4 linked regions of the Neodiprion lecontei genome follow. The protein of the gene in region 3 purifies or fractionates together with the protein of the main gene of each other region. This does not show direct contact. Links are inferred from orthologs where the notes say so. Each region holds a gene or a part of one and is shown on either strand. Other genes may lie near its edges. The genes, in order: viral IAP-associated factor homolog, DDB1- and CUL4-associated factor 7, T-complex protein 1 subunit beta and serine/threonine-protein phosphatase 6 catalytic subunit.

Region 1 (4,957 bases), on a different chromosome or scaffold from region 3:
TTGTCGAGTGCTATATAATAATTGGATATAATCGTGTTAGTTAATTATGGTGTTAATATGATAGTGATATATAGTAACGTATAATAATATTATAGCTCTTTGTAGTGCGAAGATCTCGTAACATGGTTTTTAAGCTTTGGTTAGTGAATGTCATAGTTATTTCCATCTAGGGATATTCCAAATAGTTAGACAATTGTTTTAATTCCTTATGGTTACAAGATTCTCGTACTTCGAGTTTGGTTAGTTGATAAAAGTAACATGCAGTAATAATAGTCGATAAAACATACGGACGTTCCGGTCGGATGTTACAGACAGTTCGCAAACTGTCGCAAATACTGGTAGCGCACACGGAACGGAATGTCCGGAACGCCTCTGATCGGGGCTTGAAAAGTCACTGAATTCCGGGTTCGTGGAGACGGAATAAATTCCGGACTATGGGACGGCGGCTTAACGCAACACAGTGGGTGCTTTCCATTTACCGACTCTAGTCGACTTGTGTCGCTATTTCTGGTGTATTCCTTTGCCCAGATTGGCCGGTTACATCAGAAATAGCGACACAAGTCGATCTGAGTCAGTAAATGGAAGGCACCCAGTATGAATCATCAAACTCATACGCATTCCGAAGGCCACACCACGACAACCCTATAGACCTGCTTTAGCTAGTTACTCGAGTCGACGGAAGCTTAGAACATATACTGTATATGCTCTAAGGACGAAAGAAGCGTAGTGTACCACAAAAAACTAGAGTAAGGGATTAGAAGAACATAGCTACCGGTCCCTATAAATAAGGGCACCACGCGTCAAAACGCTCTTTCGGATCGTGCCCCTAGACTTGACATCCTGTTTTCGAGTCAAGTCTCTTGGCGCAATCCTTATGCTTTCTTACATTTCAAATTCCTTTATCACCAGTATAAAATATTCACTTTCTAAAACGCTCTGTCGGCTTATACCACAGATCCCACCTGTAGTGTAGATTCCTGCTCTACCTAGTCTTGCGGTACCCAGTCATTTGCACACTACGCTACCCGTTCAAAAGCTGTCTCAGAAATTCAGAACCAATATTCTTTTTCTCGCAATTAAATATTCCATTTTTTAGAACTTAGTTCTGGCCGATCAAATAACGCTTTTGCCCGTCTTGACTCTGAAATAATTATTATTCAACCTTTAGTGCCCTGTAAACGGTCTATTGAGAAAATAAACACCTTTAAATATATTTCAAGTAATTTCAAATAAAATTAGTTGCAATTAAACTCCTATTTCACATTTATTGATCACTTGTTAGGAATAAGAGGCAAAGAGTATCATCTCCGTTTTCTATTTTTAGCCGTCATTATGGAAATTTATGGTTTACTTATCAAGTTATGGAATACTTGTATCGCTTGCGTTTGAATTAATTCAGGCAGTGACCTAACCGAATAAACCACCAAGCTTGATTAAACCCTAAGCAGGGCTATAACTTGAATAATATAAAAAAATATAAACAAATTATCTATATCAATATCGTTCATTTTAAGGAAAAAAATATATAAATTTCATGTGTATGTACGAATAATAAATCTACGAAGGTAATAAATGAAATAAACGTATGTTGTTTAAAGAAACGGTGTTGTTTTTATTGGTTAACCAATTTCGATAATTTTTTCACACCACGATACCACACATGGTTTAACCATTTTTTTTTTTAAAACGCAACAGCGTTTCACGCGTATGTAAGACCGTGAGTATGACGCACGCGCTAATTTTAGGTTATATGCTTCATTACAAATATAATTTCGGTGGCACATTTTCATCCCTACCCCACGTACATCCCTAGATAGCAGCGCTGCGACACGGCTATTTCAAACACTAAAAACTACGGACAACAAGAGAACCACCCACGCCGCTCTGTAGAAAATTGGCTTCGTTGCCAGATCTGTATGTAAGACCGTGCATGCTACGCAAGGTATCCGTGTCATCTATACATATGTATATGCGAGCTTGCGAGCAGTGCGAAGCAGTGCCACCGCGTGGAGTACTGAAGTTTGTTTTTGACGTACTCTTAAAAGAATTCTATAGACAATTGTATTTTCATATTATTAATTATTAATATTCTTACTTTCAATACAAAATGGTAAGTATACAAATTCAAGAATCATAACCCTAGCGATATTTCCATAAGCAAGGGTATTTTTATCCTATCAGTGAGTGTTACCTTATTTGGTGTCATTCTCAAAACAAGAATTGTAAATACTATTCAGAGGTATATACGTGATATCATAGATATTTCACACATGGCCATTTCGCATCACTGCATTTAAACTACTCAAACGTGACAACATCGCATTCATACCAGGCAGTTTTTGGACCTAACGATTGTACGTTCGTCACATAGCAAATGTACATGTTGTGTGTTTGACATGTATGTTTTAAATTCTTTCTAAAAACACTGCCCCATTACATACCTGAAATTAACATGAGATCCTATTACCAAACATAAAAGGTTGATATGTACATGGTATTATTTCTGCTATTCACCTTCTATCTGTACGATTTTAAATGCGTCCTTCGCTTGAAGAATTTTGATTTGGAATGAGATGTATAGTTGCAATTAATTAACATTTCAGCAAGACCCAAACGAAGATACCGAGTGGAATGATGCCTTGAGAAAGCAAGGAATTATTCCTGCAAAAGAAAAGGAGAAAGAAATCACAGAGGATCAAATTGTCGATCTCTTGGAAAGTACAATCGATAAAAAACTTGGCCGAGGTATGTATTATCAGCTACATTTTATACGTCAGTATAAATCACCAGAATGAGTATGTAATAGCGACGTACGTATACCTGTATAGAGGTTATAACTCATGCAGGTTAAGATAGGTAAATTTACATTTAGTAGTTACCAAGTGCACATTCATGGCATTTTAATAGTGATCTTGAGAAACTATCAAAACCAAACTTTTGGACCCTCAGTACTTCCAATTTCCTAGATATGGAGAAAATTCAAAATATTTGTTTCACAATACCTTCTTGACAATTGTCTATTGTCTATAACGATCTCTCTGGGGTGTAGATTGCATGCTTGTAGCACCTACTTAATTCATGCATATACTTTGTTCACAATGTGGCAAGGAGGAAGCATATTACGCCTTACCATCGAAAGCTTGGCTCGCTAGTTCTGTTCAGGATCGCGAGCTTTATCTTTTGGGTACTCTGCTTTTCATAATTTTTCAATCTGGGAGACCAGGTTTCCTGAGAACTTTTTTTTAGGGACCTGCAGTTCGTGACCTGACCAGGTTCTGCTTGAGCAGTTTTATTACTCTGCGGTTTGCAAGTGAATCGTATCGGCGATCTTTTCCGGTTGAAGGGTTGCGTTTATGGGAGTTCCTTTCCACTGAGTTGAGGGAATCCAGTTCCTTGGAAGGCTACACAGGGTCTTTTTAATTACCTGCTAGCCGCTGGGGATGCGTGACAGGGTGCAGTCTAACCCGAATGCTTCATTCTATTTTAACTACTTATTACATTGATTTGAATTTTAAGTTGTGTGGTTATATTTATTTTTATTTTTAATTTTATTTTACATAACCTGACCTTCATCTCTGTACTTTTACTTTGCTTCTCTGTAATCTTATTCTTTATCGCTTTACTTGGGTTTATTCTTTCTCTGTTTCGCTTACTTTGACTGTTTTGGTTTTGTTTTGGCTAGTTTAAGTTCTTAAATTGTATTTTAATTTCTAGAGTAGCATTTTTGGCTTTCTCCTATTTCAGATTTTTTGTTTTTGTAATCGTTTAATTCTGTTAAGACAGATGAATCTAACAATAAATTGTCCAACATTGTCATGGACATTGATAAATATTAATACTAATCCAAACAAAAAAAAAAAAAATAATGGAGCCTGTCAATGACGACTAAAATTTCAAAAATCTTTTACCATTTTTAAGAATTAGTTTTTATTTTGTTTTCTCAAAATTTTCAAAGTGCTCATGCTCAATGGCATTGAGAGGTGACTCTTTGAATTACACATGAGGTATAGGATTTGATGAGATCTATCAACCTGATCTTGGTGGTAGTAAAAAACAGTGATGCGTCATACTTAAAATTAAAAAAAAAATAACGTTTTTTGGCACTTTTTCTGATATCCTGGGTTTTTCTGAAAGAACAGTGTTCCTTGCACCTCTAATTCATAATCATAAAATCGAAACAGCATATGAGTATATATCTTTCAGTTAATATAGATGAATCGTGTTCGAAAATCGGAAAATACTCGTTGTTTCATAAGTTTTTGGAGCTAGTTAGAATTGTCAAATCTGAACTCCAATTTCTCAATCAGAGTCTCTCAAGATATTGAATTTACATGTCTTCAAACTGACATATTCCAAATCCCGTAAAACTTCCGCATTGAGGTACTCAAGTAAGTGCTAATATTTTTTTTGTACTTTTAATGAGTAAAAATCATAGTCAATTGGTAAAACTTTATTTTTTTGTAATTTGTTTAATAATTGCATATAGGTGGGGGTTAAAATATAGAACGTTTACAAAGTAAATGTATCGTAATACTGAATTATCAAGGATGCGAAAATCTCATATGATTTTCAGAATGCAGAAAGTCAAAATATAGAAAATTTGAATCGGAAAGGTCAAAGTATAGAAAGTATAAGTGATATAGAATCAGCATAATAAATAGAAATGTTGTACAATTCTGACAATTCTATGTTTTGGTTTTATGTATTTCATTTTTCTACGTTTGCACTTTTTTATATCTTGAGTTTCTATACGTTCAGGATCTTATAGAGTAGGCGTTTGCGTATTTGGAACTTTTCAGATCTTAATTTACCCCTACCCATTGCGAATGTGTTATTCATTCATATATGCATACAGAGGTGGACTATTCGAAAAACACAATTCTAAGGCACTACAATAATTATTCAGTTTGCAATTCTTATTCCATTGAATTCCATGCAAAAAACCATTCAAGATGAA
Region 2 (4,641 bases), on a different chromosome or scaffold from region 3:
ATGTAAATTCTAAAGTCCGGAAATGTTTTGTAAAATTGCGTCATTAAATTAACGTGACGAACTTCGACCTCATGAAAAACTGGGATAATTTTTGTTCGACTCAATTTCAGAGACTGATATTATGAAAAAACCACTTTTATTTGTGATGAATTACACATACTTCTTCATCTTCATCTTGTCGATGCCTAATTTTTGTCCTGTTCTTCGGCTTAACCACTTTTTCGCTGTTTATCAGTTCTGCTAAGCCAATTTTAACATCCTGACGATCTCGCTTCGAAACCTTTATTTTCTTCGCTTTACCCATTTCACAATGATTATTTTAATTTATTGTCAATGATGAATCGAGAAGTAATGACAGCACGTGGAATAGTGGCTAGAATCACATACATAACCAACACTGAAGCATATGTTCTTAGGGGCGAGGAGTCACCTTAGAGCATGTACTACTGGAGATAGCTTCGCGTGTACAGAAAGTGTAGCGGAGGAGTGACAGAGAGAGGTATATGTCGGCTATCATCTCTGTAACCACCCTCTTAGTATATATGCTCTAACAAGGGAACGCTACACTAATGACATTTTTCATATTTTTCATACTTATGATACTGAGCAGTGAGGACTTGAATAACAATTCCCCAAAGACGTTCGATTTCAAAGTCTATAGTTTTTGAGAAAATCAATTTCGAAATACTACGAGCGTGTTATATACACTAAACGGTCACCATCCGACAACGCAGTCCGTGGCGCACCGGGTAGCGCGCTAGAGCGATATCCGATGTGGCTAACTATATATTTTACTTTTATTAATTTTTCCTTTTCTTTTATACGTTTGCCCACATCATTTACGTGTGGACTTGATTAAATTTATGCTGATTAACAGATACTTCGTAATTTACAATGATAAACGTGGATCTTGCTTTCGCATACCTGTCGCTTGAAAAGTCGGGCTTACAATTGAAAATGGTAATTCTTAACTAATAATATTTGTGATAGATTTAATTTTTGCACAAAACCTGCCAGCCTTCCCAGTTATTGACCCTGGCCCAATTATTTACCTTTTTTGGTTGCATATGCTTAATCCTCAGTTATAAAATTATTAAAAATAAATTTGTAGTGTCTAACCTTCTAGGAATTGGTTTTAGTCATCGAGAAATTTGCAATGTGTGCCTTCAATTTATAATTTAGAAGAATAAATGGATGAATCATTGGGTCTAGACGTGTCGATAATTGGTACACTTACCTTAGTCAATAAATCATCTTAGTAAAGCTAGTTTTCATATATGCCATAGATCTTACCCTAGTAGTAAACGAAATCACCTTCAGCTGGTATGTTAGCGATTGATATGGCGATCTAATATAAACGACCTTTTCAAAATTATATGACATGGTGAGCGTAGAAATTCTGTCGCCATGCATATGTGCAGTATAGTGAACGTTATTTAGACGCTGCGCGCCATTATTTTTGTACTGTGGGGTAGTCTCCGCACCACGCGTGCCAGACGGGAGAGAGTGGGGGAAGTAAGCGAGCAGCGCGCATGCGCAGAACCAGAAGCGCAAAGCGAGCGAGTAGCGTGCCTGAGTGGGACGGGACGGTAGTCCGGTTTCAGCGCTCACGGATAGAGGTTTGCTCCGAGTTTAAGTAGCGCTTCCTTGCTTTATTCGCATACTTACAATAAAGTGAAAATTTCGACAGCAAATACTGTAGAAGCATTTTGCTGCCCATGAAAATTCGACCCGTGTTGGTGGGTCGTAAAAAAACTACTAGGAATATCGAAGGGGTCAGTGTCTAAGTATTTGTACTTCTGGAGCTGAACAGTCGGAACGTTATTTGTGACTTAGTGAACTGCTACAGTCGATGATCTATACGATTGTGTTTACTTTATGATTGCCATTGTGTTTACAAAAAATTCCGAACAAATGTGCATAAGGACGAGTTTTAAATGAACGAACATTCACATTTTATCGTCACATAGTTTAGTGATTTCGAAGATTTCAATCTTGTATTACTCTTGTGTATAAAATGTCAACAATGATTGAAAGTTGAGTAACATAGTCGCAAATTTAAATCCTCTCCGGTCCATAGAATGGTAGCATTCTAAGATCCGAATTTCGGTCTTGGCTATTCTGTGAGAAGAAAAACAATAAGCAGAAATTGCTTTAATGCTGTAAATACTTGAACTGAATAGTTCAACAATTGTTGGTAAAAAATGGCTCTACATAGTGTTCCACCAAAGCGAAAAGAAATTTACAAATATGAAGCACCGTGGCCACTTTACAGTATGAACTGGTCGGTGCGCCCCGACAAAAGATTTCGTCTAGCATTAGGCAGCTTCGTTGAAGAATATAACAACAAAGTACAGATTGTTTCGCTCGATGAGGAAACTTCCGAGTTTACTGCCAAAAGTACCTTCGATCATCCCTATCCAACGACCAAAATAATGTGGATACCTGACGCCAAGTGTACGTAGCTCACTTATACCAACTGTATCCTCAAAAAGTAAAACAACGAGCTCACTTTATTGTATAATACTGTTGAAAGTAAATAACTCAGTTTAAAGCTGAACAAACTGGTCATCTTTTGTTTTTCATTGATGTAATCTTCTAGAATTTTTTCAAGAATTATTGATTACATGTGATCATTATGTTGAAAACAGCATGTCATTATCACAGTCAGACTTCGATACAAAACTTGTTTTATTTGAATTCGCTTTTTTTTTTGGTTTGAATTATCGCCAACAGTTTATTAACCTCTTATGTCAATGCTCAGAGGCATGAAGTTCTTTTGGTATTTTCTGCTTGGTCGAAACCATGTTTTTGAATGAGATAGTTTTTTGTATGCAAGTTTGAGTCAATCTGTAGTGTGCTATCTTCGGCGAAATTAATAAATATCGTTAATAGTACCATAACTAATCTTAAATACTTATATCAATAAACAATTGCAAGCATGAGTGCAGCTTTGTACATCTAAGACTTTCACAGTTAGATCTAGTCTACAATTTGTATTAAACTCACATTTATATGTTCCATTGTTTATGAATTTGTATGTTACGGGAACCATTTACATCACTGCTATAAACTTTAACCTCAAAGCTCAGCCTTATGTTAAATAGACAATAAATTGTGGCATCGATTACTGTAACTAACCACACCTGTTAAATTTGCTGCCTCATCAAGAATCGTTTCTTTGCAATGAATCTTGAATGATTTCATGCACAATAAGTTGATAAAACCTGTGGCCGATTTCAATCGTATAAATCAATAACTTCATAGGTATATTCAATATAACACACATTTTGTTGCAGCTCTGTTTCCTGATTTGCTGGCCACATCTGGAGATTACCTGCGGGTTTGGCGTGCAATAGACGCAGAAACACGACTGGAGTGTGTACTGAATAATAACAAAAATTCGGATTTTTGTGCACCCCTCACATCATTCGACTGGAATGAAGTGGATCCAAATTTAGTTGGAACATCAAGTATTGATACAACTTGCACAATATGGGGCTTAGAAACTGGGCAGGTAGTTGGGAGAATTAGTGTGGTCGCTGGTCACGTTAAAACACAATTGATTGCTCATGACAAGGAGGTCTATGATATTGCATTCAGTCGAGCAGGCGGAGGAAGAGATATGTTTGCATCGGTAGGAGCTGACGGGTCTGTGAGAATGTTTGATTTGCGCCACTTGGAACATTCTACAATTATATATGAAGATCCTCAGCATACGCCACTGTTGCGCCTTGCCTGGAACAAACAAGATCCAAATTATTTAGCCACCGTTGCCATGGATGCGTGCGAAGTAATTATTTTGGATGTTCGAGTTCCTTGCACACCAGTCGCTAGGCTAAATAACCACAGGTACATATGACACAATAGTTCTTACTTGCCTTCATCACACTATCGAATTTTCAATGATGTCATTTTTCAAATGTAGCTTCAAATTGTTTTAAAAGTTTTCTCGTTTTGGGAAATTATTTCTTGGAAGAAACATTGTTACAAGGAAAATAAGCCGCAATGCTCCACTATCAATATTACATATAGCGTGAATTTTATAGCACAGTCCCATCAAAGAAGTTGTAGGTACTCTTGCTCACATTCAATCTAAGACCATTTAAGATAAGTTAGTCAAGTTTAAGAAAATTATATTTACAAATACAGTAATTTTCCTAGAAATGCAAAAAGAAATAGAGCCTGAAATTACGAACAGAAACTTCAACACCGTTTTTTTTTTATTTCAAGATACTTCAAACGGTGACAATTTCAATAGATTCGTTCAATTTGTAACGTTCACGCTGACTTGTTTTGTTTGGAAAACTGTTTCATACATTTTCTTGAAAATATATTTTTTTTCATCCAATAGTTGAATCAATCTGCTATTTATTGGTCAAAATGGACAACAGAGCAATCTTAAAAAATTACATATTGAACGATACCAACTTGATAAATCAAATAGTCATGTTGAATATATTATGTTGTTATATTAATGTCAACAGTTCACTCGTGATCATTTTTCCTATTTTTATTGGGTATATTATCCGAATGACAATAAATTTGATCAAAAAGTATTTCCTGATCACCAAGTTTTCGAAAGTACAACATTATTGAAAGTATCAATATTAGAATCACGTATAGAATAAACAATTTCAC
Region 3 (5,823 bases):
GACCGGGGAAAACGAAGGGGGACTCGGGCCTACGACGATGAGCCCCCGGCGCCAGGTGCCACTCTCGGTGTGCCTCGCTGTGCCTCGGGGAGGGACGACCCCCGCCCCTTGCATTTAAAGAGTCACCCGCCAATGCCGACGTCTCGATACATCTGCGCCCGCACACTTCAACTTTAAAGCTGCACGCGTGCCATGATCGTGTACTAAATGCGGGCTACGTGGTGAAGCCTATTAAACGCTGCGACAACTAACGATAAAATTAACGAATTCTCGATCAAAGGATCAGGTAATCAGTCGACTTTCAATTACGCTACGTTTTCATTTTGGGACCGTTTCAGCCTGTCCAGTTATTCCTGTGACTTTTTTTCACTTATGCATACTTTGGATTCTCTTTGTTCAGGTTTCTGCCGAGTAGATTTGGACGTTTCTACTTTTCCCGGCCTACCCTTGCCTTGACTCGCACCCTTACTCGGTTTCGCTGGCTCTTGTTACTCTGACTTAAAAACGGGTTTTGTAACTTCGGGTGCTTGGAACAGAGTTGCGGAACCGTTTGAAGAAAATATTTTTCAATTACCTTCCAGCGCAAAACCTGTATTACATACAGTCCAAATGGGAAGTATACAGTTTCTGATCATTCAAAATTCTGCAGATATTAAAAATTATTGAAATTTCAAGCGGCATGTGCCAGACCATCCAAATGCAATCCAACTCGAAAACTGAATAATCTTTCAAACATTCAATCTGTGGTCGTTTGTGTCAATGAAATCTCAGAAACACATTTGAAAATAGGGAAAAATAAATTCAAATAAAAAAATGAATTCATCTATAGGAACGTGATTTAAACCGAAAGTCTGTACTCGACAAACATACACATACGCATATCCTCGACCCGCCTATCGTCTAACTGAAGCTATTGTCGACGCTACCGGAGTTAGGGCGAGCAAGGTGACGAGGGGAGAGAAGTAGACAGCTGCGAGGGACCGTTACGCTGTGAACGCGCAACCTGCGCACCCCGCAGACAACACCAATTTGGGGTGCGAAATACATACATTAGAAGAAGGGGGATGCAGGGACGCGAACGTCCCGAAGCCAACGATAAGGGGAGATAAAATGGAAGTTTGAGTGAAAAAATCCGGACCAATCCAAGCAGGAATTTATTTGCAGTTAATTTAACAAGTGCGTAAGACGGGGTTTTACGGTATGAAGGTAACGTACGTGGTGCAAGCATTCTGTATATACAAAAAACTTGACACTGGTACGGCATTTATACGTATAAACATGCTCAATGCGTTTATAATCATATCAATAGCTATGTTATACTGATGAGTCAGCTGAAACGCGCCGCTCTGGAATTCTAAAACAGTTTTGTGTGGTAACCAAGCCAGCTTCGTATATCCTTTGCATTCTTCTTGCGCATTCCTGCAATATGACTTCGAATGAGTCAAGCACGCGGGCATTAGCCATGAATAGTTCTCGTCGACCTCACCAATACCAGATGTTACTACTGACAGCTACTGAACTCTAACAGAGTCCAGCATTGAATTTCTACGCCTGCAATTACTATTAAAATATCGTCGCATGTATGACCAGTTGCTAACAATTAGGTTCACGAACAAGGTAAATTGCTTGCAACAAGGTCTTCGACATTCGCCTACGATCAGGCGTAACGTCATAAGTTGCCTATGATCAGGAGTAAAATGGAAAACATTGGACGTCCGTAAAGAAAGAAATTCAGGATTTTTTACGTAGGGAAAAAAACCAAAATTGCGGAAGAAACATGTTTTTGAGTCTGTTAAATTGTTCCATTCGCAATTGAAGGCATTATTTTACTCAATTCAGATGTGGGACGACGTCCTACGATGCAGAATGACCATAATTGGTCTTGAAATTGGAAAGATGGAATCAAGTCAATATGAGTGGTGGTATCTAGCGGTCGGAAGAATCACTTGGGGCTCACAGATCTCGCGATTGGTCGCGAGAGCTGCGCGAAGGCAAGGCTTCTAGTTGTTTCTGCACGGTGCGATTCGTCGGCCCTTCGTTGTTCCAAGATCAGCATCATTCAACATCACGGCGCCCGACATCGAAGCGGTGATTTCTGAATTTGGTGTTTAGTACGCGATAACGAACAATTAACGATGGTCAGTACTGCATTTAGCTAACTAATAAACTAGCCTAAGTCTCGTTCGAATCTCGTTCCTCGTTACCCCCGGATATAAAATCCTCAAAATCCAAACCCAACGATGGGCGAAGTCGATCCTCCCACGACTGACTGTCCGGTGTCCGCATCAAAATGATGGCGAATCGCGTGACACGAAATGCACGTGTCTCGAGCATCACAGGATTGATACAGGAATTCGGAGACGTTGTCTTCGACGATATGATCGCGTGGTATTGAGCTGCACCGCGGACTTCATTAGGCACACCCTGAATCTCCGTGTCTCGCCTTTGCTTGTCTACTACGGCAACCTAACCTCTCCTGCACATTATGAATCCGGCGGATGATATTCTTTTTAACAAAAATATGAGTGAGCAAACATTTTTTTAGGTGTCACTTAATCCTGTCAGGATATTAAAGAATGAGGCGGAAGAGGAGAAGGCAGAAATAGCACGGCTGAGTTCTTTTGTTGGAGCCATCGCTATTGGCGAACTGGTCAAATCCACTCTAGGCCCTAAAGGCATGGACAAGATTCTTGTCGCTCATGGACGATCAGCTGGTCAAGTTCAGGTTACCAATGACGGGGCCACTATCCTCAAGAGTGTCGGTGTTGATAACCCTGCAGCAAAAATACTTGTGGACATGAGCCGAGTGCAGGATGACGAAGTTGGCGACGGCACAACTTCTGTAACAGTATTGGGTTTGTTATTCATTTATTTGTCTATTGAGTTCAATCAATTGTTTTGAAGACAGCATTAATAGTTTGCAATCCATCACAAATTAAATTGTTTTTTTGTTTTTCTGAAACCTAACAGCGGCTGAATTGCTAAAGGAAGCAGAAAAGTTGATAGATCAGAAGATTCATCCGCAGACAATAATTGCTGGCTGGCGTAGCGCTACTACGGTTGCCAGGGAGGCACTACATAACACGGCGACAGATAATTCAGCGGATCCTGAGACTTTCCGCAAAGATCTTATGAACATTGCACGAACAACGCTTAGTTCAAAGATTCTGTCTCAGCATAAAGAACACTTTAGCAAGCTGGCTGTTGATGCTGTACTGCGTCTCAAAGGCTCAGGCAACTTATCTGCTATACAAATAATAAAAAAACGGGGTGCCACTCTGGCTGATTCATTCCTTGATGAAGGTTTCCTTCTCGATAAAAAACCTGGAGTTCATCAGCCCCAGCGTATCACCGATGCTCGTATTCTGATTGCCAATACCCCCATGGATACTGATAAAATCAAGGTATAAATTAAAATAAAACAATTTTAATTGACTGGGCATTCTTCGAAACTTCTGTTCCAGTTCTATATAAATTGAATATCTTGAATGTAGTAGCTATGCTTGTCACAGCATTTTTTATTGAAATAACACGATACACTGTACTGATACGTGTGATTTCGTGTTTATTTGCATTTTTATTAATTTATTAATTATCTTTCAGGTCTTCGGTTCAAGGGTACGTGTCGATTCGATGGCAAAGATTGCAGAGCTAGAGACTGCAGAAAAGGAGAAGATGAAGGTATTGAAATAACGTCAACATTCGCATTTTCACGTATAAGTTTACTTAATTATTCGCAAAAATATGAGGCTTACGTGTAATGGCCAGAACTAGACGATTCCGTACCAACTAATCAACTTTATATCCTCTGAAATGATGAATTGCTTCCCAACCAGGATAAAGTTGACAAAATAGTGAAGCATGGCTGCAATGTCTTCATAAACAGGCAGTTGATCTACAACTATCCAGAACAGTTATTCGCTGACGCTGGTTTGATGGCCATTGAGCATGCAGATTTTGATGGTATCGAAAGACTCGCCCTTGTAACTGGAGGAGATATAGTCAGTACCTTCGATCATCCCGAACTGGTCAAACTTGGCAAATGTGATTTAATAGAGCAGGTGTGTCTCTAGATCTTGGATACTATAAGTATGCCTTGCAACCTATTTAATTCAGAAAATTGTATCAACAATTCTGATCATCGTTTGAATCACTACAGGTTATGATTGGAGAAGACTCTCTTCTTCGTTTTTCGGGTGTAGCTCTCGGTGAAGCTTGCACCGTTGTCATCAGAGGCGCTACTCAACAAATCCTAGATGAAGCTGAGCGTTCATTACACGACGCTCTCTGCGTACTGGCAGCTACAGTACGCGAGTCGCGTATCGTATTTGGAGGAGGTAAAAAATTTCTCATGTTTTACCAAAACGCCGGTGCAAAAATAATTTGGTTGCTGCGTTGAATACTCGGATTTTATTCAAAATGTTACGCAAACAAATGGGAGTGCGCGCTCCACAATTTAGTAAGAGCACACAACAGTTTTTTCCTTGTAATCCTAAGCCTTATAAAAATCCTAACAGGTTGCAGCGAAATGGCTATGGCTTGTGCAGTGATGAAAGCTGCCACTGCTACCCCTGGAAAAGAGGCTGTTGCCATGGAAGCGTACGCTAGAGCTCTTCAGCAGTTACCTATAGTAATTGCAGACAACGCGGGTTACGACTCAGCTCAGCTAATCAGCGAGCTCAGAGCCGCGCATAATTCGGGAGCCTCAACAATGGGACTTGGTTAGTATTGAATTTCAAGGCCGAATCCTCAGAATCGATATTCACAGGATAACTATAATGTTTCGTATTTCCTACTACAGATATGGAGGAGGGTAAAATCGGCTGCATGAAAAAACTCGGAATCACAGAGTCGTGGGCTGTGAAGCGACAAGTCGTCCTGAGTGCGTCTGAAGCCGCCGAAATGATACTCCGAGTTGACAACATTCTTAAGGCAGCACCGCGAAAACGCGTCCAGGACCGTGGTCACTGTTAAACGGGGCGCGCTTTCCGTTTCAATTCTTTGTAATTTCATTAATTGTCCATTAAATTGAACTGCGCTTCTCCGCATCATAGGTGACGACTAAAACGCGTAACACGCTTATTTAACCGAACACAACTACACGCATTTGTAAACCGGCGACGTGAATCGTCGCCGATTATTATCATTATAATTTTACTTATTAACGAAACACTTCTATGTTCGATATATCGAACATAACAATAAATTCGTTTTCATGTATGTATATGTATAGCGAAATATGTATACGTACATGTATATCGTTTTGTACCTAATATTTTCTTATTCAACAAATCCATATTCATACAAACCTAGAAAATTACAATTGGGAAAGTTGATTCGAAACCCGAAACTCGCAATGAAACATTTGCTACTCAAGTGGGCACAATTACCTAAAAGGGTGAAAAATTGTACCAAATTTCATGTGTGACATGATTAAAATTAATTTACGGTTTTACCATTATACTGATCCGTAGGTTTCGAAAAATGATTACATAATCATTATTCACATATGAACAGTAGTGCTCAAAATACGTTGGATTAGAGTTGATCAGACTGCAGAATAATAAAAATTGAGCGGTCTCTTGGAAAACGAAGAATCCCGGGCTCACAGAGTCGAAGTTCGACAAGTCGTTTGCTGATATAATCGCCGAGTCGATGGACTGTTGGCGCGCTGCGATCGGAGATGAGGAAACTGTCGAGCAACAGTAAAGAGACGGTGGATAACATTGGCAGCGAAGGTGCCAAAGATAGAATCACGGTAGAATATAAATCATCGCTGGCGTTCGCGTACGCACGATACACGAGCGTGTTTCAAAGTTCGAA
Region 4 (5,568 bases), on a different chromosome or scaffold from region 3:
ATTTGAGAACTGACATGATTTTGTAACAAAGAACACGCATTACGTGCACGATATAAATTCTATATGATCTGCTCGGAGCAGATCTACTCCGTCGATTTGATAAAATTTGAAATTGTATATTGGTTTGATTTGGCAGCTAGTGCCATTTTATACTATAATTCTTTCGTTTGTGAGTTCAGTAGGAGTATCATAAATTAGTGACAAAGAGTGCCAGAATTCAGGTTTGTTACATACAGCAACAGCAACAGCAGCAGCTGGTGAGTTAATACTATCCATGTATTTTCATTATGCATTATTATATTACACAAACGCTTATTAATTTAGAGGCACATTGCTAAGGGTCTCAGTTTAAAAAATTGCTCCCTACGTTAATAAACTTATGATAATCTACCTATCAATTATTTAATACAACAATAATTTGGCATATGAATACATGATATGGAAACTGTACACTCATACTTGTTATTCGTTTCTTTTTATTTGGCAAAGTGGTATCTCTGCTTCAACTGTATCAAGATGGTCACGGAAAGGACTGAACTAGCTGTATACTACGTTCAACTTCGTACAGTTTATGGTTACCATCGTTCCTAAAGTAATGTGTCTTTTTTTTTTTTATGAGTATCAGTTATTGCGATCCACGGAATTTAAACATTTATAAAACATTTATGTATTGATATCAATAAGCCATCATATAATTTACGAAATGCAAGGAATTGGTTATCGATAAAATATTGCCATGTTTCGTACAAAAATGTTGCAATGCTTTTTTTATCATCAAGTAAAATGGTATGTGCTAAACTTTTACCGGACCATCCGTGATCATACTGTTTTATTTTTATTGTACAATTATTCAAGATAAAGATACAATATTAGCATTAGCAATAATAGTCGGTACGAAGCTCGTTAGAACAGAATCAAGTTATTAATATCTTCGGGAAGACCCTAACGATACGACATTGGCTTATGCATTCTTGAAACCTGAATTCTAGACACAGTAAACTGTAATGTCGAAGAAGCATTCACTGTTCCCAGAGCCCACTTCTTGTCGGAATGTTTGAATAATAATATTTTCTATGTTATTTCCCTTTACATCACTGGACCAATGACATTTCGTGTATTTATAAGTTACTTAAAAGCTCTCAGGCGACCAAACATGTCCAACTTGCTGCTCTGAGGTGCGAATGCTCTACAGAATGTACACAGTAGGCAGCAAAAGCATCTAGACCATAGAATGTCGTTGTTGAATTTTTACAGAAGCTCTTTTAAGTAAACAGATCAGGCTGATGCAATGGCAGAACCTTTTTATATCATTATATTTCTCAGTATAGTTTACCACAGACAACTTTCTAGCGTATAAAATTTTTTTAAAAAACAAGGTCATAAATTCCTTTACATATAATTTTACTTGAACAATAAAGAAGGGCACAATCATTGTGCCGGAAATATATCTTGATACGGAAAAAAAAGAAAACAAAAACTACGAATTTCATGATAAACTGATGTATAAAAAAACCTCCCAAATTATGATATACTACAAGAACATTCGTTCATGCTGTCAAAATACCAGCCCAATTCATTGACAAAGGAGCAGTCATGTATCTCCGTGAGGCCTAGATCCCGACGCCGCTCCTCTGCATCGAGACAGATGGAGCGCCGAGTTAGATCACAAAAAGTAAGGTGTTGTCGTAAGTGGGGGAATCACTCTTTCGGCATCTGGCACTGCCTGGAATAACACCGCATTTCTCTGGTCCACCGTTGTGAACTGTAGAATACTGGCTATGTTGCCACATCGATAACAATAGTTTGGCGCCGACCAAACTGTCACCAACTTATCATTGAACATGTATCTATACCCTACAAAGGTAAATGTTATATTTATTTACAAAATATGAATAATACTTAACGATTTAAAGAATATTTCGATCCTTTAGCATCAAGTTATTGCCGTACGTGCATTTGTGTTTGCTATACCAAGTTGAAATCTATAGTTTTCAACTTTAGTGAATTCTGGCGACTTCATTGGCAATGAGATATTGCATTTGGTAAATAAATTTCAAATGTCTTGATACGAAATTATTGACTAGTTTCTTTCGACAGTAACAATATGCTTACGATTAGTTGAAGAAGCAAAGAAAAATAATATATTGGATAAACAAAATAATAACCTAACTATTATTACCGCAAGGGCTTACCTTCGTGAACTAACTGATGTGCTCTACATATGAGTTGAAGATCATTTATACCCATAAATTCATGAGTAACTTTACTTCCGAATAGCCATCCGGCTCCTCGTGGGCTTACTGTCCAGGTATCGACATCTTCTGGGTCGGACCACACTAGATCACAGAAAGCACCTGCAAGTAAATAAAGAATGAGAAAATATCAATCGAGTTGGCCACATACGAAGTTGAAACTGACAGTCAAATTTGGCAGGCAATCGAACCAAAACTTTTCTTATATAGAGGAAAGCAGTACACTTTTGTGTTTATAAATTTATTTAAATGTTGGCATTCCATGAGCTTTGACAAGATTTCGGCAACGAACTTCACCCACCAGTTTCAAAAGTGCAAAGCTGAGTAACTTAATGCTTACTGGAAGTTTTCAGGATAGCGTTCCTAATCATTACATAATATTTTTGATGGATATAATATTTACTCAAATTGTTATACGATAGACTTGATTTATAGTTGTTCATACCTTTATGTGGGATTTCTTGATTTCTTTCAATTGTCCTAATTTGATCTAGAGTCCTAATAGCTGGTGACAAACCACCATGAACACAGAGCACTTGTTCGTCAATTAACTAGAAGAAAAAATTTCGTTGAAATAAATTATTACGTATCTAGTATTTTCAGTTTTTACTACTTTTGTACTGAAAATCATGGTGCATTAATGTATAAATATACTCACAGCAGCTACTGTAAGAAGATCGAATACTCTGCAGCAGTACTTCCACGCATTTGCATTTCCATACTTATTGTGACACTCATCTGTGAAGGAAAGAGAATTCTGGAGTCAAATTCCAAAAAAGTTTGGGGGCAGGCAACCTGAATAACTTATAAAGCTGACATTTAACTCCCATGCTCGTCAAACTAAATTTTGCATGTAAACATTATGTGATTTCCTTCCAGTAGCGAAAGAAGCGTAAGGCTTGAAAGAAAAGCAAATCAAACAGATACTAAAACGAAAATCAACCGCATGCTCGCAGCGTGAAAACTTGCTAATTATATTTTGGGCTTCAGATCCATCCTAACGTATAGCCAAAGCTCTGAGATTACTGGATCCTACAATGGTAAATAGAAGAGCACATGGTTACCGTAAAATCCATAAACTTGTGTGATTTGGCGCGATTCATGATTTCCTCGTAATAGCGTTATCCTGTCTGACCATTTGGCCTTTAGTGTTAGCAGACGGGTAAATGTTTCTAAGCTGTAATATCCTCTATCGACAAAATCTCCCATAAATATGTAATTTGTATCAGGTACTGGGCCTCCGCTCCGAAACAACTCCTCCAGGTCGTAGAACTGACATGAAAGACGCACAAATATTATGGGATATGCATCAACAAGTACTGCCCTAAAGTTTTGAGGTTATATTGGGTCGCAGTAGCTCACCTGTCCGTGAATATCACCGCATACGGTTACTGGAGTCGATACTGGCTGGATATTGGATTCTTCGAGGAGCAAATCGCAAACCATGTCACACAATTTCTGTATAAACAGGTAAAAGTACAAGTTAAATTATTCAAAGATAATACTTCGGGAAATGTAACCTAAAATATTTTCATGAAAATTGGTATTTCGAAAGTACGGCGAGAGATTATACGAGCAGTAAATATTTATTTATCGTCAATGAAATGCGCTCATTACCTTGAGGTCATTTTCTGGTAGGTATTTGCACTCTTTTGCAATATCAATCCATTTATCGATGTCTGACATTTTGGATTCGTAATGTCGCGGAAATAGCGGGTCTGCCCTGTCACCTATCTGTGGAACAGGGTACTTGTGACTGGCTTATCGCTATATATTCCGGAAGAAAGAGCGCGCTGCTTAAAAAATATCATATTTATTAATTAAAAATTTCACCGACTCCGGGTAATTTTGTGGATAACTGTTTGATTGAAAAACTGTATAAAACGTGTCTTTTAACGCTGGTAAATACCCCTGTCAACGAAACGCTATTCACTACGTCGTTATCTGTATAGATTTTCTTTCCGTTTCTAAAACTGGGTCAGAAACTCGGCGGCACTGCGCAAGCTTCGATTATCGATTATAACGTTAACGTCCAGAATCTTGATGCTGGATCTCATTTGCGTGATCGCGGCGTAGGGCACTCGCAGTGTTGCTGTTCTGTCCGTTTTCTTACGGAACTTTGCTGAAACGCGCGTTTCTCGCTCGCAGAATCGGGCTCCGGGTATTAAAAATGCGGTGAAAACACTCGGGTTCGGAGTTCGAATCGGCTCAAGGAATATCGTGGGCCCAGCCATTTTGCTCTATCGAGAGAGAGACGAGCAGTGTGAGAGACAGTTCTGACCGCTCTACTGCTACCCTGTCGGACGGAGGTGGTGGTCGCGGCTCCGTGCTGATACGCTTTTATTCTGTTTTCCAGTGTCGTTGAATAGCTCTTGTTGCTCGAGGAAGTGCCGACGATAACTTAAAATTAACCAAAATGTCAGGCAATACGGGAATGGAACAGTTGATACCAATTGTAAATAAGCTTCAAGATGCGTTCACTCAGCTCGGAGTGCACATGCAACTCGACCTGCCACAGATCGCTGTTGTGGGCGGACAAAGTGCTGGCAAGAGTTCCGTTCTGGAAAATTTTGTCGGCAGGTAAGTTCGATCCTTCCATCCATCAACGCCCCGAAATTATCGACGAATCCATGCTAATTTTTTTTATCGTTATTCTTAACCTATTTGCTCCGATACAACGCAAGGCGTGGCAAATTACCAAGCCGACCTTAAACGTCCCGTCAATATAATAATACCGTCGATGCTGGGAATTAACGATACGTCAACGCGTTTGACAGTTGGGAAATTTCAAACGTACGGGTCGCCAGGGTCAATAACGAAATTCCCCGGTCGCCCACTCGCCTCGAGTGACACCCTGTATCAAGTTCCTTCGCGAATATTTAGTCCAGACTCTAATTCTCTATTCTAAAGTCTCAATCGTCCCGATGATCTAACAATTGATAATATGAGTCAGCCTGTTTTCACGCTATCTTTCACCCGTTATTCCAAATGAAAGTTGGCTTGAGAAACACGCGACTTTTGTACGGTAACAAAAGAAAAAGAGCTAGATGTAAAAATGGCAAACAATTGAACAAATAAACGACATGCGACACCGATGAAGAAAGATCCAACCTCAAGACCACTTTCAAATTGTATATTGATTGGAAAAAAATTAGACTCAACAGTGCTGACATGTGCAGAAAAATAAATCTACAAAAAGAAAAAAATTTTCTTGGGTCTCTTTTCCGAATTTTATCTCAGTGCCCAAATTTGGTTACAATTTTTACGATTTTCCACGATATATTATCCATGCCATAAGATTTCTTGAAATTTTTTG

What was found.
Region 1: the proteins of T-complex protein 1 subunit beta (region 3) and viral IAP-associated factor homolog purify together in Homo sapiens (co-immunoprecipitation; 3 studies listed by BioGRID and IntAct, with this or other methods). This does not show direct contact. The link is inferred for Neodiprion lecontei from reciprocal best matches to the Homo sapiens genes CCT2 and PDCL3.
Region 2: the proteins of T-complex protein 1 subunit beta (region 3) and DDB1- and CUL4-associated factor 7 purify together in Homo sapiens (affinity purification with mass spectrometry; 4 studies listed by BioGRID and IntAct, counting the BioPlex papers as one, with this or other methods). This does not show direct contact. The link is inferred for Neodiprion lecontei from reciprocal best matches to the Homo sapiens genes CCT2 and DCAF7.
Region 4: the proteins of T-complex protein 1 subunit beta (region 3) and serine/threonine-protein phosphatase 6 catalytic subunit purify together in Homo sapiens (affinity purification with mass spectrometry; 4 studies listed by BioGRID and IntAct, with this or other methods). This does not show direct contact. The link is inferred for Neodiprion lecontei from reciprocal best matches to the Homo sapiens genes CCT2 and PPP6C.

Annotation. Positions count from the first base shown.
Region 1 is NC_060260.1:19,522,164-19,527,120, reverse strand, and holds the start of viral IAP-associated factor homolog, read left to right. Parts: upstream 1-1,930; 5' UTR 1,931-2,107; coding exon 2,108-2,110; intron 2,111-2,603; coding exon 2,604-2,745; intron 2,746-4,957. UniProt on the Homo sapiens protein: Acts as a chaperone for the angiogenic VEGF receptor KDR/VEGFR2, increasing its abundance by inhibiting its ubiquitination and degradation.
Region 2 is NC_060263.1:25,735,440-25,740,080, forward strand, and holds the start of DDB1- and CUL4-associated factor 7, read left to right. Parts: upstream 1-1,599; 5' UTR 1,600-2,204; coding exon 2,205-2,457; intron 2,458-3,299; coding exon 3,300-3,852; intron 3,853-4,641. Other genes in the region: bystin, read right to left, coding at 161-304. UniProt on the Homo sapiens protein: Involved in craniofacial development. Acts upstream of the EDN1 pathway and is required for formation of the upper jaw equivalent, the palatoquadrate. The activity required for EDN1 pathway function differs between the first and second arches.
Region 3 is NC_060265.1:2,248,374-2,254,196, forward strand, and holds T-complex protein 1 subunit beta, read left to right. Parts: upstream 1-1,982; 5' UTR 1,983-2,135; coding exon 2,136-2,138; intron 2,139-2,545; coding exon 2,546-2,855; intron 2,856-2,970; coding exon 2,971-3,404; intron 3,405-3,603; coding exon 3,604-3,681; intron 3,682-3,836; coding exon 3,837-4,061; intron 4,062-4,159; coding exon 4,160-4,337; intron 4,338-4,517; coding exon 4,518-4,721; intron 4,722-4,801; coding exon 4,802-4,974; 3' UTR 4,975-5,273; downstream 5,274-5,823. UniProt on the Homo sapiens protein: Component of the chaperonin-containing T-complex (TRiC), a molecular chaperone complex that assists the folding of actin, tubulin and other proteins upon ATP hydrolysis.
Region 4 is NC_060262.1:30,903,468-30,909,035, reverse strand, and holds serine/threonine-protein phosphatase 6 catalytic subunit, read right to left. Parts: upstream 4,012-5,568; 5' UTR 3,939-4,011; coding exon 3,870-3,938; intron 3,723-3,869; coding exon of another isoform or gene 3,711-3,722; coding exon 3,615-3,710; exon of another isoform or gene 3,612-3,614; intron 3,525-3,611; coding exon 3,317-3,524; intron 2,991-3,316; coding exon 2,911-2,990; intron 2,804-2,910; coding exon 2,698-2,803; intron 2,355-2,697; coding exon 2,193-2,354; intron 1,855-2,192; coding exon 1,664-1,854; 3' UTR 508-1,663; downstream 1-507. Other genes in the region: dynamin, read left to right, coding at 4,669-4,832.